Rattus norvegicus: one gene and its partner. The main gene of each other region encodes a partner of the protein of the gene in region 2 in a complex. Links are inferred from orthologs where the notes say so. Each region holds a gene or a part of one and is shown on either strand. Other genes may lie near its edges.

Region 1 (6,333 bases), on a different chromosome or scaffold from region 2:
TCCAGCTGGCGTCATTCATCCCAGTTCAACCTGGCCTCTGAGCTTGGCATCTTCCTCAAATCCCATGTCTTCAGTCTCTACCGAGAGTCGGTGACACGTTTAGAAGAGAGAACAGGGATGCCCAGACAGGCATAGGGTGGATTGAAGTAGAGAGAGAACCCAGGTGTTGGTGACACTGGTCCCCCACAGCCTCAGGTTTAACTCTACCTTTTCCCAGGAGGTGAGTACCACAGTTCTGTCCGGTTTTCTGCCTCTAAGTCTTCTCAGTGAGCTCATTTCTCCCCACCTCCCACTTCTCCACGGCTCCCCGCATCCTCCTACCCAAGTCGGGCCTGGCTTTCTTCTGGGGTGAGTTGGTCAAATTCCTTGGCCACGTCTCGTCCCAGGAACGCCTCATGGTCGTACTGGAAATTCCCGTGGGCGTCATCGTGGGGGGCCTCACTCAGGGGGGTTCCATGATGCACCCTATCCTGGCCATGAGGTCCTGCATCAGGAGATGGCTTCCCCAGGGCCCAGTGCCTCAGCAGTAAGAGAAGCAACATAAGCGTCCATCGCCACATCATCGGTTCCTGGGGAGAAGCGAGGAACATGGGTCAGGGGTAAGATTTGGGGGAAAAAATCTAAACCAGAGATAATGCGAGAGAACTTTGAAGGGGCGTGGGGGGAGGCTGCCTGAGGCAGTGCAGATATCCGCGCAGGCTGCAAACAGTTTGGGGCTCAAGAAAAGTCGGCAAAAAGAATCGAGAATCTGAAGGTAAAACCATCTCTGGGGATGAAATCCGAGCCTCAGAGGACTCTCAGAGCAGAAAGGGGGTATTTCAGTTAGAGACGTGGCACACATCCCACACAAAGTTGAGGGCATGGTGGTGGCCAAAAGCATCATGCAGGCTCCTCTATGTGGCTGGGGAGTCTGGACCGTGAGCCTCACGCTGAAGCCCCCTCCATAGCTAGATCTCCACCTTTCCACCCACCCCACCCTCGCCCCACCACATCTCTGTTACCTGGCCTGGGTTCGCTCCCCACGCTGAGCTCTGCTTTCACGCAAAGATGCCCAACTTGGCCTGCTTCCAGTTAAGCTCTGCCACAGGCAGTCCAGAGGCCACCGCCCTCTGACCAATGACTGCGCAGAAGAGCCTCAGGGGCGGAGCCAATGAGCGAGGAGGAGAAGAAGAGTGCCCCGGACCCCCTTGCCACGTCCACAAGCCTGAGCTCCAGCGGAGAAGGCCGATGTTGAACTACAACTCCCAGCAGACATACGGGCTGACTGCACGACCACTCCAGAGTCTCTGGCCCCAGAGAATTAAGAGAATGTGGGTTTTGTTTTGTTTTGTTTTTTTCTTTTTCTGTTGTTTTGTTTTGTTTTGTTTTGTTTTTCTTTTCTTTTTTTCGGAGCTGGGGACCGAACCCAGGGCCTTGCGCTTCTACCACTGAGCTAAATCCCCAACCCCTTGTTTTGTTTTTTTTAACTCTTTCCGTTTCTCAGATCCGTTTCAGAAAAGAGGAGATCGGGTTTGGTGGCTCATGCTACCAACACTTAGGAGGCAGAAGCAGGTGGATCTCTATGAGTTTGCAGCCAGCCAGGACTACATAGGAAGACCCTGTCTTGAGGGAGAGGGAGGGAAGGGGGAGGGGAGAGGGGAGAGGGACGGAGAGGGAGAGGAGAAATGATGCCTGGTATGGTTTAGGTATCACATACATTTATGACTAAAAATACACAACTCGGTCTATAAAATGGCCAGGCTGTACCACAGCAATCAGGAGGAGTCTGTAAGATCTTTCTCAAACTTGTTCAATTTATTCCGGCTGCCTGAAACCTGAGAATAACGATGCACACACAGATTTGGGCCCAAATTTATGTGGAGATGGAAATAGCCATTGACATTAAGAGGGGAAACTGAAGCAGGCCACAAAAGAAGGGATCCACGAGGAGGACATCCAGCCCAGGGCTCCCTCGGGAGGCTCAGAGACAGTTCAGGAGGTCACACAGCCCCACAGGCTGCAATGGGTATGGGGCCTGGGTTGGCATCAGGAAGTGGCCGGAAAGGCATTTACACCTTGAGGTTCAGCCTCCGGGGGCAAGTTCCCACCAGGCAATAGGTCGCCAGAGTCATCACCACTGAGAGAAAGCCATGGGGCTAAGAGAGAGAGGAATAGAGGTCAACAAATGTATCTAAGGTCTCACCCACCCAACACACCTGTGAGGGCCACACTATGGTGTCTGTCCCCATCTCTTTTCCCAGGGTGGTCAGGGGCTGTCTCTGTCTCTCCCTCCCCTCTTTCTCTCCTCTACTTCCCACCCCACCCCTCCCCAACCCTGCACGCACCTGGCAGCCCACTTCGCATCCTGTTCCATAGCAGCACACCCCCTGCGATGGCCACTACCACCAGCAATAAACCAAGAATGATTCCGACCACAGGCACAGAAGATCTGGCGGGCGAATCTGCAGCCAGAAAGTCTCATGAAGACAGGGAAGAAAGGAGTCGGTGACTCCTCTCAGAGAGCCCCAGAAGCATATATCTGAGGGTGGGTGTATGCAGAGAAAAGGCCCTGGGCCTCATGTGTTTCCACCCTGAATGTAAGAACCAGCTACACAGTGGTGGCACACCTCTTAATCCCAGGATTTGGGAGGCCGAGGCACACAGATGTGTGGGTTAGAGGCCAGGCTTGTCTACATCGCAAGTTCTAGGACAGCCAAAACTATACGGAGAAACCCTGTCTCAAAAACAAAAAGAAAGAAAAAGAGAAAAAAAAAAAAAAAAAGAACCTGCCGGGTTGGGGATTTAGCTCAGTGGTAGAGCGCTTGCCTAGGAAGCGCAAGGCCCTGGGTTCAGTCCCCAGCTCCGGAAAAAAAAGAACCTGCCACTGTGCTGGAGAGATGGCTAGAGCTGTTAATGTTAAGAGCACTTGCTGCTCTTGCAGAGGATCAGTTTGGTTCCAACCTGAGCCCAACCCTCTATAAATCTAGGCTGGCGAGAAGGCTCAATGAGTTAAGGCATTTGCCCTAAAGCCTAGTGAGTTTGATCCCCAAGTTGTCCTCTGTCTTCTCAAGTATCCCACGACACAGGCTCACCTCTGCCTTCCCTTCTCACATAAAGAACGTAAGGAAATTAAACATATATGCATACTCTTAGATATAAATCTGAAGAAGAAGAAGAGGAGGAGGAGAAGAAGCAGAGGAGGAGGAGGAGGAGGAAGAGGAGGAGGAGGAAGAGGGCCATATTGAGAGAACACAGCCACACTGTGACGGAGCTCAATGAGGACCTAATTGAGGAGGAGCAGTCACAGGACAAATGGCAAAGTTGGTGCTTCACCAAAGCCATGGCAAGAACTGTCAGGAGCAAAAGTGAATGGTCAAACACCATGAAGACCAGTAGTAGCAAGACTTGTGGTCAGACTCAGGGGGACTGGCCACAGGGTTAATGGAGAATCAGAAGCTAGGAGCAGAAACAAAGAGGACACTGAGGCCAGAGGGACAGCCTCACCTAGGTCCACAGTGAGAGGCTGGGCCAGCCCCTCATGCTCCACTTGACATTGGTAATGGTGTTCATCTCCACGTTTGACCTCTAGCAATGACCATGCATGGAAAGATCCATCACCATTGGGACCAGTGCTGCAATTCCCAGAGCCTGAGGCTAGCCCATTGCGCAGGAATCGAAACTTGAGCTCCGGCGGGTAGAAGGAGAAAGCAGCACAGGTCAGTACTGAGGAGCCAGAGTTGCCAGGACGGGCCTTCAGGCGCATAGATGGCGGCTCTGTGGGGACACAGGGAATGGGGTGGGCCAGCAGTTAGGGTAGGCTATGACCTCACCCACTGATCCCACCCCTGCCAAGCCTTGGTGTGAAACTTGTCATGAACAGACCCCACTTCCCTATTATCAGCACTGTGCTGACCCAGAGGGCTTCGCAGAGTGACAGACACCCCATCCTGCTGACCCCGCTACCACGCCCCCTGATTTTGGCGTATGTGTGGTATATTTGTGGATCAAGGACAGAGGTCAATGGCAGGCACCTTCCTCTCTTGCTCTTCAAATTTTTTCCCCTTTCTTTTTCACTTTGTGTGTCTGAGTGATTTTTGGCCTGTGTGTCTGTGCACCACATGCAGGCAGTGCCCATGGAGGCCAGATGAAGACATCAGATCCCCTGGAACTGGAGTTATGGGTGGTGGTGAACCACCATATGGGAGCTAGGAATCAAATCCAGGTCTTCTGCAAGAACAGCAAGTGCTCCTAACCACTGAGTCACCTCTCCCACCCTCCACTTATTTATTGAGATGGAGTCTCTCACTGAACCTGGGGTTCACCCTTTCAGCCACACTAAGCGGCTGGTGAGGTCCCATCTCTGCCAGACCCATCCCTGCAGCTATAGACATGCAGCAGTACACCCAGCCTTTGCAAGGGGACTGAGGATCAGAACCCAGGTCTTCCTGCACAGCAAACACTGTGCTCAGTGTGTATCTTGCCAGGCACATGTATTTGTTTGTTTCCCAACTGAATTTCACTCTTAGTCCGGCCAAGCCTTGAACCCGTTATATAGATACACATGACTTTGACTTCCTTATCTTCCTGCCTTTACTTGCTAAGAGCTAGCTAAGAGACAGCAGCCATGTGCCCCCGGATACTGGTTTATGTAGTAAACCTCTCTAGTGCATGACCTGTTCTTGGCCCTCGGAACACATTAGTGTATACACAGAGCGAAGAGACATGGCTGTCCTAGCTGCTGTGATGGTGCAGGCCCATACAAATGATCCCAGCACCTGAATCTCTGTGAATACCAGGCCGACCTGTTCTACGTATCAATTCCAGGCAAGCCAAGGCTACATAGTGACATAGTGAGACCAAGAAAAGAAAGACACAAATAAATAAATACATTGTGGCTGGGGATGTGGCTTAGTTTGCAGAGTGCTTGTCTGGACCTGGGTGAAATCCTGGGTTCAATCCCAAGCACACTGACATTGACTGTGCACCCTGGAGAACCCCTGTGATCTCAGCACTGCAGACTGGAGGTCAGAGGATGAAGAGTTCAAGGTTACCTTTGGTGAAATAGGAAGTTTGGGGCCAGCCTGGGCTACACAAGATCCTGAATCAACAGCAATAAACCCCTAAACAAAATGGAATCCATGGGGATCTGAGACCCCAGCAAGGCTGTGTGCACGGCAGAGGCGTTCCCTCCATGCAGGGTGGGTCTCACAATCTTGGTTCTGCTCTGATCCTCAGCAGAAAATAAGCTGACAATTTCTTAGGAAGAGGAAGCTAGGCAGCTTCCCTGAAAGAGGGGCCTCACTGGCATCTAAGAAAGACCTGCGGCACCGGCTCTCAACCACAGAGGACCGGACCTCAGTCAGCAGTTCTGTGTCCTGCCTTGTGCTTGTTATTGTTTTCCAGTGAGGATGACTTCCTGTGGGTAGTGCTGAGAGACACCCATGGTTCTCCTGTTTTCCAGTTCTGACCCTGAGGGTGCTAAGAGTCAGCCCAGCCTTGGCTTCTGCTTAACAGAAAAAAAAAGAAAAAAAAAAAAAAAAAGGAAGCACCTTAGCCCCAGAAACTGTAAGCTGGCTGCCAGGGCAGCAGGATTACAGACTCACCCATTAAACCACAGAGGGAGTTGAAAGGTAGCTTGGGAAACTTAGCTAGGCCCCATCTCAAAATAAAAAGTCAAAAGAGGGCTCAGAAGAGCCTGAGGAGCAGCTTAGCAGCATTTTCTGCTCTTTCTACAGAACTGAGTTCATTCCCAGTACCGACACTGGGTGACACTCAACCACCAGTAACTCCAGCTGCAAATGACCTGATGCCTTCTGGCATCTGTGGTCTCATGCACAATATGTGCATGTACACAACCATATAAATTAGCAATAAAATAAATGTAATCAGAAAAAGTTTTAAAAATAAAATAAAATAAAAGAGGGCTGGTGGGGTTGGGGATTTAGCTCAGTGGTAGAGCGCTTGCCTAGCAAGCACAAGGCCCTGGGTTCAGTCCCCAGCTCCAAAAAAAAAAAAAAAAAAAAAAAAAGAGGGCTGGTGACGTGGTTCAGTGGGTAGACACCTGCTGACAAGCCTGGTGACCTGAGCTCCATCCCCACAGCCTACATGGCAGAAGGAGAGATCCAGCTTACTAAGTCCCCTGACCTGTCTATACACACACACACACACACACACACTCACAAACACACACTCACATGCACAAATAAACAAATACAAATAAATGTAACTTTAAAAATATTTTTAGGGGTTGGGGATTTAGCTCAGTGGTAGAGCGCTTGCCTAGCAAGCACAAGGCCCTGGGTTCAGTCCCCAGCTCCAAAAAAAAAGAAAAGAAAAAAAATATTTTTAAGTAAA
Region 2 (6,523 bases):
TCAGCGTATTCAGGTATAGAAGTGCCTTCTCCAAACTCCAGAGTTAAAAGAATGCTAATACTGTATATGAAATGAACAAGGAATCACGGGTCTCTTCCAGCATGCTCACTTTACTTCCATAGATAAAGCCCTATGGAATTGGGATACCACTGTGGAAGGCCACTCAGTCTCTATCTCTAGGAGTGAAATTCCATAGGAAGACAAGGACACAACTACATAGGTTTAGATGTAACCCCCAAATTCCAATGTTTTCCCAAATGAACTCTTTATTCGTGTAATATTTCCATATTATCTAAATCTTTTGTTATGTTTTTGTGTTCAGCATTTCTATCAGTTCTTGAGTTTCTGCTGCCTAAGCATGCTTCTCCCTTTTCTACTAAGTATTGTTCTGTTTGCTCATAAACTCCACCTAACCCTTGAAGGACGCTTCCACTTCCAATGTATCAAGATTTGCTGAGTCCTCAAAACGTCTACTCCCAAGAGACCAGTGTTTATATTACACAGGGATACAGTCCTCCTCATCCCTCCAACGAAGTTCCCAGAATTTTTTGATAGATATGGATTATATATAGTGTGTTTTCATTGTGAAATCCATATGCTGGATGGCCTATATAATGTTTTAAATAATTACAAGTTGATCAAGGAAAAAAACTACTCACGCGTTTTGGAATCCATACTCTCCAAGCTTCTCGTAAAGCTCACAGTTAGTTTTGACCAAGTTCTTAGGTTCTTCTACAAGAGGCTGAAATTCTGCAAGCTGCAAGATAAAAGAATTGTGTTTACAGGCCCCTTCCTGAGAGCCCAAAGTAGGTCACTTTGTACTACTGCTGTCCCTCTATACAAAGACAAGCCAGGAGACCTTTTTGCCACATTTCCCATCTTGCATTTAAATTGTCCCTTTTATTTGCAAGGTCTTTTGGCACAAATCAAATGAGAATCCTCAGGCTCTGGGATTTAATGGCTGCGTTTGAAGCAGGCCACCTGCTGTATTTTCTTGTTGTGTGATTTTTCTTCCCACATCCAAGTTTCAGACTGATCCTGTCTACAACCCTACAGCACTAACTGTCCTCAGCACCAGCACTGGTCTCTTAACCCACTAAGTGGATGAAATCAAAACAGCACCTAGTGCACAGAAGTCCCCTAGATGGTGACCTTCACTTATAGCAATCTCTCCAGTTGGATCTTGAGGTCTCTGAGATATGAGCATCCACCCCAGCCTAAATCACAGAGTGGTGTCTGGTATTCGGGCAGTTTCTTTGTAAAGTCTGACTCCCTTCTGGTCCCAGATGATTCAGAAACCAATATGTGCTGACAGGAGTCCCGACATCCCCACCCACAACAAACCTGCAAACACAACTTCTCATAATACTACTCCAAAACCTTCTCCAAAATGTCATTTAAAGAAGTAGAGTTCTCGAATTCCTTTGAGATATTAATTCTAATAGTTGACAGTATGGTGGGACAGGTTAATGGTCTTTTCAAGCCTAAGTTAAATCAATCACTTTTAATTGGCAATTGAACTTATTCTCTAATTTTATTCTCAGGCGTCTGAAAAAGGGAAGGCTACAACAAAGGTTTTATGTAAGCAAAGATCCCTCCCTCTCTTTGAACCTTCCTTCCCTAGAGTGGTCATTCTAGTTTCCTTATATTTTACCCAAAGAGTTTATCCTGCAATGTTGAAGGAAACTTTAAGAGCTCGAACTTGCCTCTATCTCAAGAAAACATCAGGATTGACCTACGTATCTATGATCATGAATTCATCTCTTCTTTTCTCCTGACAGAAAGCCCCACCAGCACCGTGAGTGTTCCTGGCTCGCGGAAACCTACCACTGTGCCGTAGCAGGCAGGAGGATCGCCTTCAGCACAGCACTTCTCCAGTGTGGCTTCATATTTCTTAGCAAGTCTCAGCAGCAGGGACACGGAGTAATCGGGGTGCCTTCTTGAATATTCATACAAAAACCTAATTGAGGCGAACATAGGCTGAGCTGAATAAGGGGGCGTGTCATAGAGTCCCTGACCAATCTCAATAGAGATTCTCATCCCAGCCACCCTGTGTTGGCTCGCAGCAAGGACTAAGCAGCAAAGACGTGGGACCCAGAGAGAACCCTTCCCAGGTTCAGCTCCACCACTGCAAGCTATTTTAGTATTCTGCCTGGGCAACTTACTATCAGAGTGCATCAACCTCTCCGTTAGTAGGATGGAAATAAGGATTGCACTTCCTGAAAACATATTGTCATTTGTTATTCGTTGTATCGTGCCTTGCCACACTGTGACATTCCGGTCTTCTCAACCAAGTATGAAAGAACTAAGTGTCATGTGGGCATATATACATACAGAGGGATAGATAGATATCCTTGCTGTCATCCCAGAAATGAATAGATATGGCTCGATAGGTAAGTAGATACATAGGTAATATATTCCTATACATGAGAATTTCAAGAAAAATGCCCATAAGAATGATTAAGTGGCACATACAATTTATATACTCATAGAATATTTCCAGAAATAGTCCTATGAAGTAAAGAACATTGAGTTTATGCTGAATGCGTTATGATTTCATTAAAAAAAAATGCTTTGAGTTCCTTAAAATGCTTTTCAAGGAAACTTTAAAGGCTAACACCTGCTAACACCTGGACAAGGAGCCTGGTGTAGCCTCCTACACCGCACAGCTTCGCCAAAGCCACGAAGAGAAAGGCATCTACTCACGTGCCCAGGAAGACATCCTTGGCCTCAGCATAGTTCTTACACACTTCCTTATCCTCAACAAAGTCAGCAGCTATTGAGGGCAGATCGGCAGGAATGTTGTCATGTTCTATCTCAGCGAGACACTGGGATTTCTGCAGCACTGGCTTATCACAGCAAGCCTGCAGTTTGCTGGAGATAGTGGCCTGGTTCTCACACATGTACTTGGCAAGTTCCGCCTGTGAGAACGGAAGGCAAAGGTTTCAGAGAAATTCTCTTGGCTACATTTTATCCCCGCACCACTGTTGGGCGGGGATAGCCTATCCATCCTGCTCTGAGCCATTCGCAACCAAAGTGGCTTCTAGAAACACATTCTCAGCCACGAAGTGCTTCAGTACTATGACCAGAACATCCCAATGGGATTTGAGAATGACTGTTCAGAAACAAGGTATGTATTTAGTTAAATGAATTTGTTTTAATTATTTATTAAGTTTATGTCAGAGAGACTGTGATAAATCAGGTCACTTTTTCTATAAAAGTTAGTGCTTTTTTTTTTTTTTAAATTCCTCCCAAGTTAAGGGTAGTCATTTTGAAACTAAATAACTCATTAAAATATGAAGTATAATTAAACAACCAGTAATGAGCACAATTACAGGCCTTGCTCATAACACACAAAACATCTGTCTTGAGTTCTCCAGAAGGTTCTATGGCAGAAAAGCATTCTGATGTTTGGTTATATTTTTAGTCTTTGGAGAGGGGAGGGGAGGGAGCTAGCAGGACGAGGTGGGAGAAAATGAGATCACAGTGAATTTTTTTATGTGCTTAACGTACACAGTTAATTAGAGGAAAGACTACCGAAGGATAAACACATTTTTAAGAGCCTCTCCACTCTGTGAGATCCCTAGCCCCGTTTCTCTTCCCAAAATCTTAAACATCTTTAAAAAAAAGAAAAAAAAACTACATCTGTGACTAGTTCCCGTTCATTAACACCTTTCTCAAAGTGTGACTGAAGAAAGGAGTTTTGGATCATTTAATAATTCAGAAAACCTTTTGCTGTTGTTTCTGTTTTCTGTTTTGTTTTTGTTTTTGTTTTTGTTTTTTTCTGGAAAGTGGCACCAACCAAGGAGAGCTTGGCAGATTAACGGTCACACCAGCAGCCATCAGTGATCTCGGGTGAAGCCAAACACTTGCATTCACTGACTGAGCCTGCAATCCCCCTCTTTACCCTGTCATCCGCGCATTCCAACAGGTCGCCGTGACAGCACTCCTTGTTGATTTTGGTGAGGTCTGTTGCCAATTTGGTGATTTCTGCGAACTCAGCATTGGGGAATCGCTGGCTCATACGAGCTACTGCCCTGAAAAAGGAAAAAAGAAACCCCATCAAGGAATTATTATCATAGTGTATTTGGAGGAAAGCAGTAAAAAAGGCGCCACTTATAACAAGTTCGAAATTTGTTATAAACTGGTTTTGAAGTTAAAACCCGACTTAAGTGATCAAATTATAAAAATCCACTAGTTCTTGCAATGCTAGCCTGGCATGATAGTTATGGTTTTCTTTAGTGGATCTATCTACTAAAAGAATGGGGACGGTCCATGGAAAGGTAAGGCCTCATTAAATGAAAAACAGAGATTTTCCCCAAAGGGGCATCAGCCAAGTGTTAAGGCCTTATCTGACTTCCGTTTTTTGGCTTGACCCGGTCTTAGCATTGTGACCACCAGCAACCTGCTTAGCTTTTAGAGTGTTACAACGGGCAGAATCAAAGGATCTGGGAGATTAAGTTACATAATGGCATGAAAGCATTTTCTCATCTGGAACTGAAGATTCGTCATCTTTCCTCACAAGACATAGTTCTCTGAATTCTAAAGTTCCTGATGGGGGAAACAAAATTCTTAACTTCCAGAGAGCTTAGAGAGTTCTAACCATGCATCCTCCCGCCAAGAAACTGTTCCGGCAGACAGCCTCTAAGTTCTATGGCACAAGCCAAGACTCTCATTCCAAGATCATTTTCAGTTCCTTAACTCCAATAAAGAGACTCCTTTGCAAGAGCCAGTCACGGCCTGCACAACAGTGTATTGTTTGATACTGAAGTTGCCTCGTGTGTTGATTTGGTTGGCTGTGATAATTCGGATAGTAGGAATGACTTCGTGAGGATAATTGTGCTGACGGTTTCCAGAGAACCCACACGACGACGTCATCTCCTCGTTCTTTTCTATTACGTTGATTCATTAACGACTAACAGGTGAGGCGCTAGAAAGGCAAGCATGTCTTTCTTGCCTTCTACATTAAAGAATACACCCCAGGCTCAGCTACAGCATATAGAAGCAAAGAGAGTATCAAACAGAAACATGAGATTAAGAACACAGTTGGGGGGTTGGGGATTTAGCTCAGTGGTAGAGCACTTGCCCAGCAAGCGCAAGGCCCTGGGTTCAGTCCCTAGCTCAGAGAAAAAAAAAAAAAAGTTAAAAAAAAAAAACACAGTTGGAGTTGTAATAAAATTCAAAGTAATAACTCCAGCTTCTTTGATGGCTAAATTCAATTATCAGGACATAAAACAGTCACTTTTAGCCTGGGAGAACACAACTTAAGTAAATTAATCACCTTGACTACATTCCTTAAGCTTTGAAAATGAGTCCCAGTCTTTATAAGCAAATGAGATTTTAAATACCTGTCTTCTTTTAGGAAAAAAACAAAAGTCTTCTAAATTCTTTGATAATTTAAAATAAAGCATGAGACAAAAATGTCAACTTACTACTATTAATCCGATTTCACCTCTATCGTCTTTTCATAAAGTGCCTTATAAAGGCACAGCCTTTTGGATTGGACAGCTATCATCAGAAAGATGTGGACTGTGATATTAAAGAAAATTCATATACCAGGCTTTGAAGGCTCTCTCTCCAAATCTCTGCATACTGGAGCACTTCATCCTCTGACGGACAGCTGCGACCAGTGCTTTCTCTTTCACGGCATCAAGCTACCAAAAGAAATCCAGTTGAAAAAATTGGAAAGGTTATTTTTACACACACACACACACACACACACACAGAGAGAGAGAGAGAGAGAGAGAGAGAGAGAGAGAGAGAGAGAGGCCCCTTTCAAAGTTCCCCACAGCCCTGTGCCAAAACAATTGGTTTGGGTGGGGAGGAGTTGAAATCGTGTGCATGCTAGGTAAGAATTCTACCATTAGTTGTACCTTCCATTCAAGTGAAAATTTAAAAAGGTAATTTATATCTCAGTTCACAATAGTCCCTTTTAGCAAATAATTATTTTGATACCTAAAGGAAAAGAAAATCGATCTGTTCTTAGCATCTAGGAAAAGCACCTTGGAGACATTGCCAAGGGAGGATTACCCTGTCCTAGGCGATGCCCTGGGACCTATGCCTGTACTGACTTTTTAATTTTGTGACTAATTCATTGCAGTCCTTCCTCCATCAACTTTCATAAAATCAGTAAGTGCCTCTACAAACCAAATGATGCGTAACAAATATTTATGGAAGGAAAGAAGGAATTTCAACTTCTGGCCTCAGTAAAAATTCTCTGCTTTGAATTTTAACTCCAGTAAAATGTCTCAGAGAAAGTCAAAAAGATAAAAGCCAAAACAAGCAAACAGAAAACCCTAGACACCTCTGCACAATTTGACAAAGAACATTCTACTGCACACATCATTACCATAAAGAATGAAAGGACAAGGAACACATATACAAGAATTCCCTCTCTCAGACCACTGCTACATTTTGGAAGGTATGAGAACAAAAATCCACTGGTAACTTAAGAGGGAAGAGACGTTTCATTCAGAAAGTCGAGTCTCCTGAATCTAGCCATAAGATTGGAGGTTGGACTACG

The links.
Region 1: the proteins of Alb (region 2) and Fcgrt are in contact, whole or in part, in a crystal structure (PDB 6QIO), measured with the Homo sapiens proteins. The link is inferred for Rattus norvegicus from reciprocal best matches to the Homo sapiens genes ALB and FCGRT. Residues at the interface, in NP_000468.1 of Homo sapiens: Arg105, Glu106, Thr107, Tyr108, Gly109, Glu110, Asp113, Asn133, Asn135, Gln441, Ser443, Pro445, Thr446, Glu449, Leu484, Leu487, His488, Thr491, Pro492, Val493, Tyr521, Val522, Pro523, Lys524, Thr530, Phe531, Thr532, Phe533, His534, Asp536; in NP_001129491.1 of Homo sapiens: Arg65, Glu67, Glu69, Gly72, Ala73, Val75, Trp76, Gln79, Val80, Ser81, Trp82, Trp84, Glu85, Lys86, Thr89, Arg92, Asn172, Lys173, Leu175, Thr176, Leu179, Phe180, His184, Glu188, Arg192, Gly195, Asn196, Trp199, Lys200, Glu201.

The regions. Positions count from the first base shown.
Region 1 is NC_086019.1:104,709,129-104,715,461, forward strand, and holds the end of Fcgrt (IgG receptor FcRn large subunit p51 precursor), read right to left. Parts: intron 3,754-6,333; coding exon 3,484-3,753; intron 2,442-3,483; coding exon 2,325-2,441; intron 2,136-2,324; coding exon 2,026-2,135; 3' UTR 1,779-2,025; downstream 1-1,778. Other genes in the region: Rcn3 (reticulocalbin-3 precursor), read right to left, coding at 322-563. UniProt on the Homo sapiens protein: Cell surface receptor that transfers passive humoral immunity from the mother to the newborn. Binds to the Fc region of monomeric immunoglobulin gamma and mediates its selective uptake from milk.
Region 2 is NC_086032.1:17,895,710-17,902,232, forward strand, and holds part of Alb (albumin precursor), read right to left. Parts: intron 5,655-6,523; coding exon 5,557-5,654; intron 4,038-5,556; coding exon 3,908-4,037; intron 2,922-3,907; coding exon 2,707-2,921; intron 1,961-2,706; coding exon 1,828-1,960; intron 758-1,827; coding exon 660-757; intron 1-659. UniProt on the Homo sapiens protein: Binds water, Ca(2+), Na(+), K(+), fatty acids, hormones, bilirubin and drugs. Its main function is the regulation of the colloidal osmotic pressure of blood. Major zinc transporter in plasma, typically binds about 80% of all plasma zinc.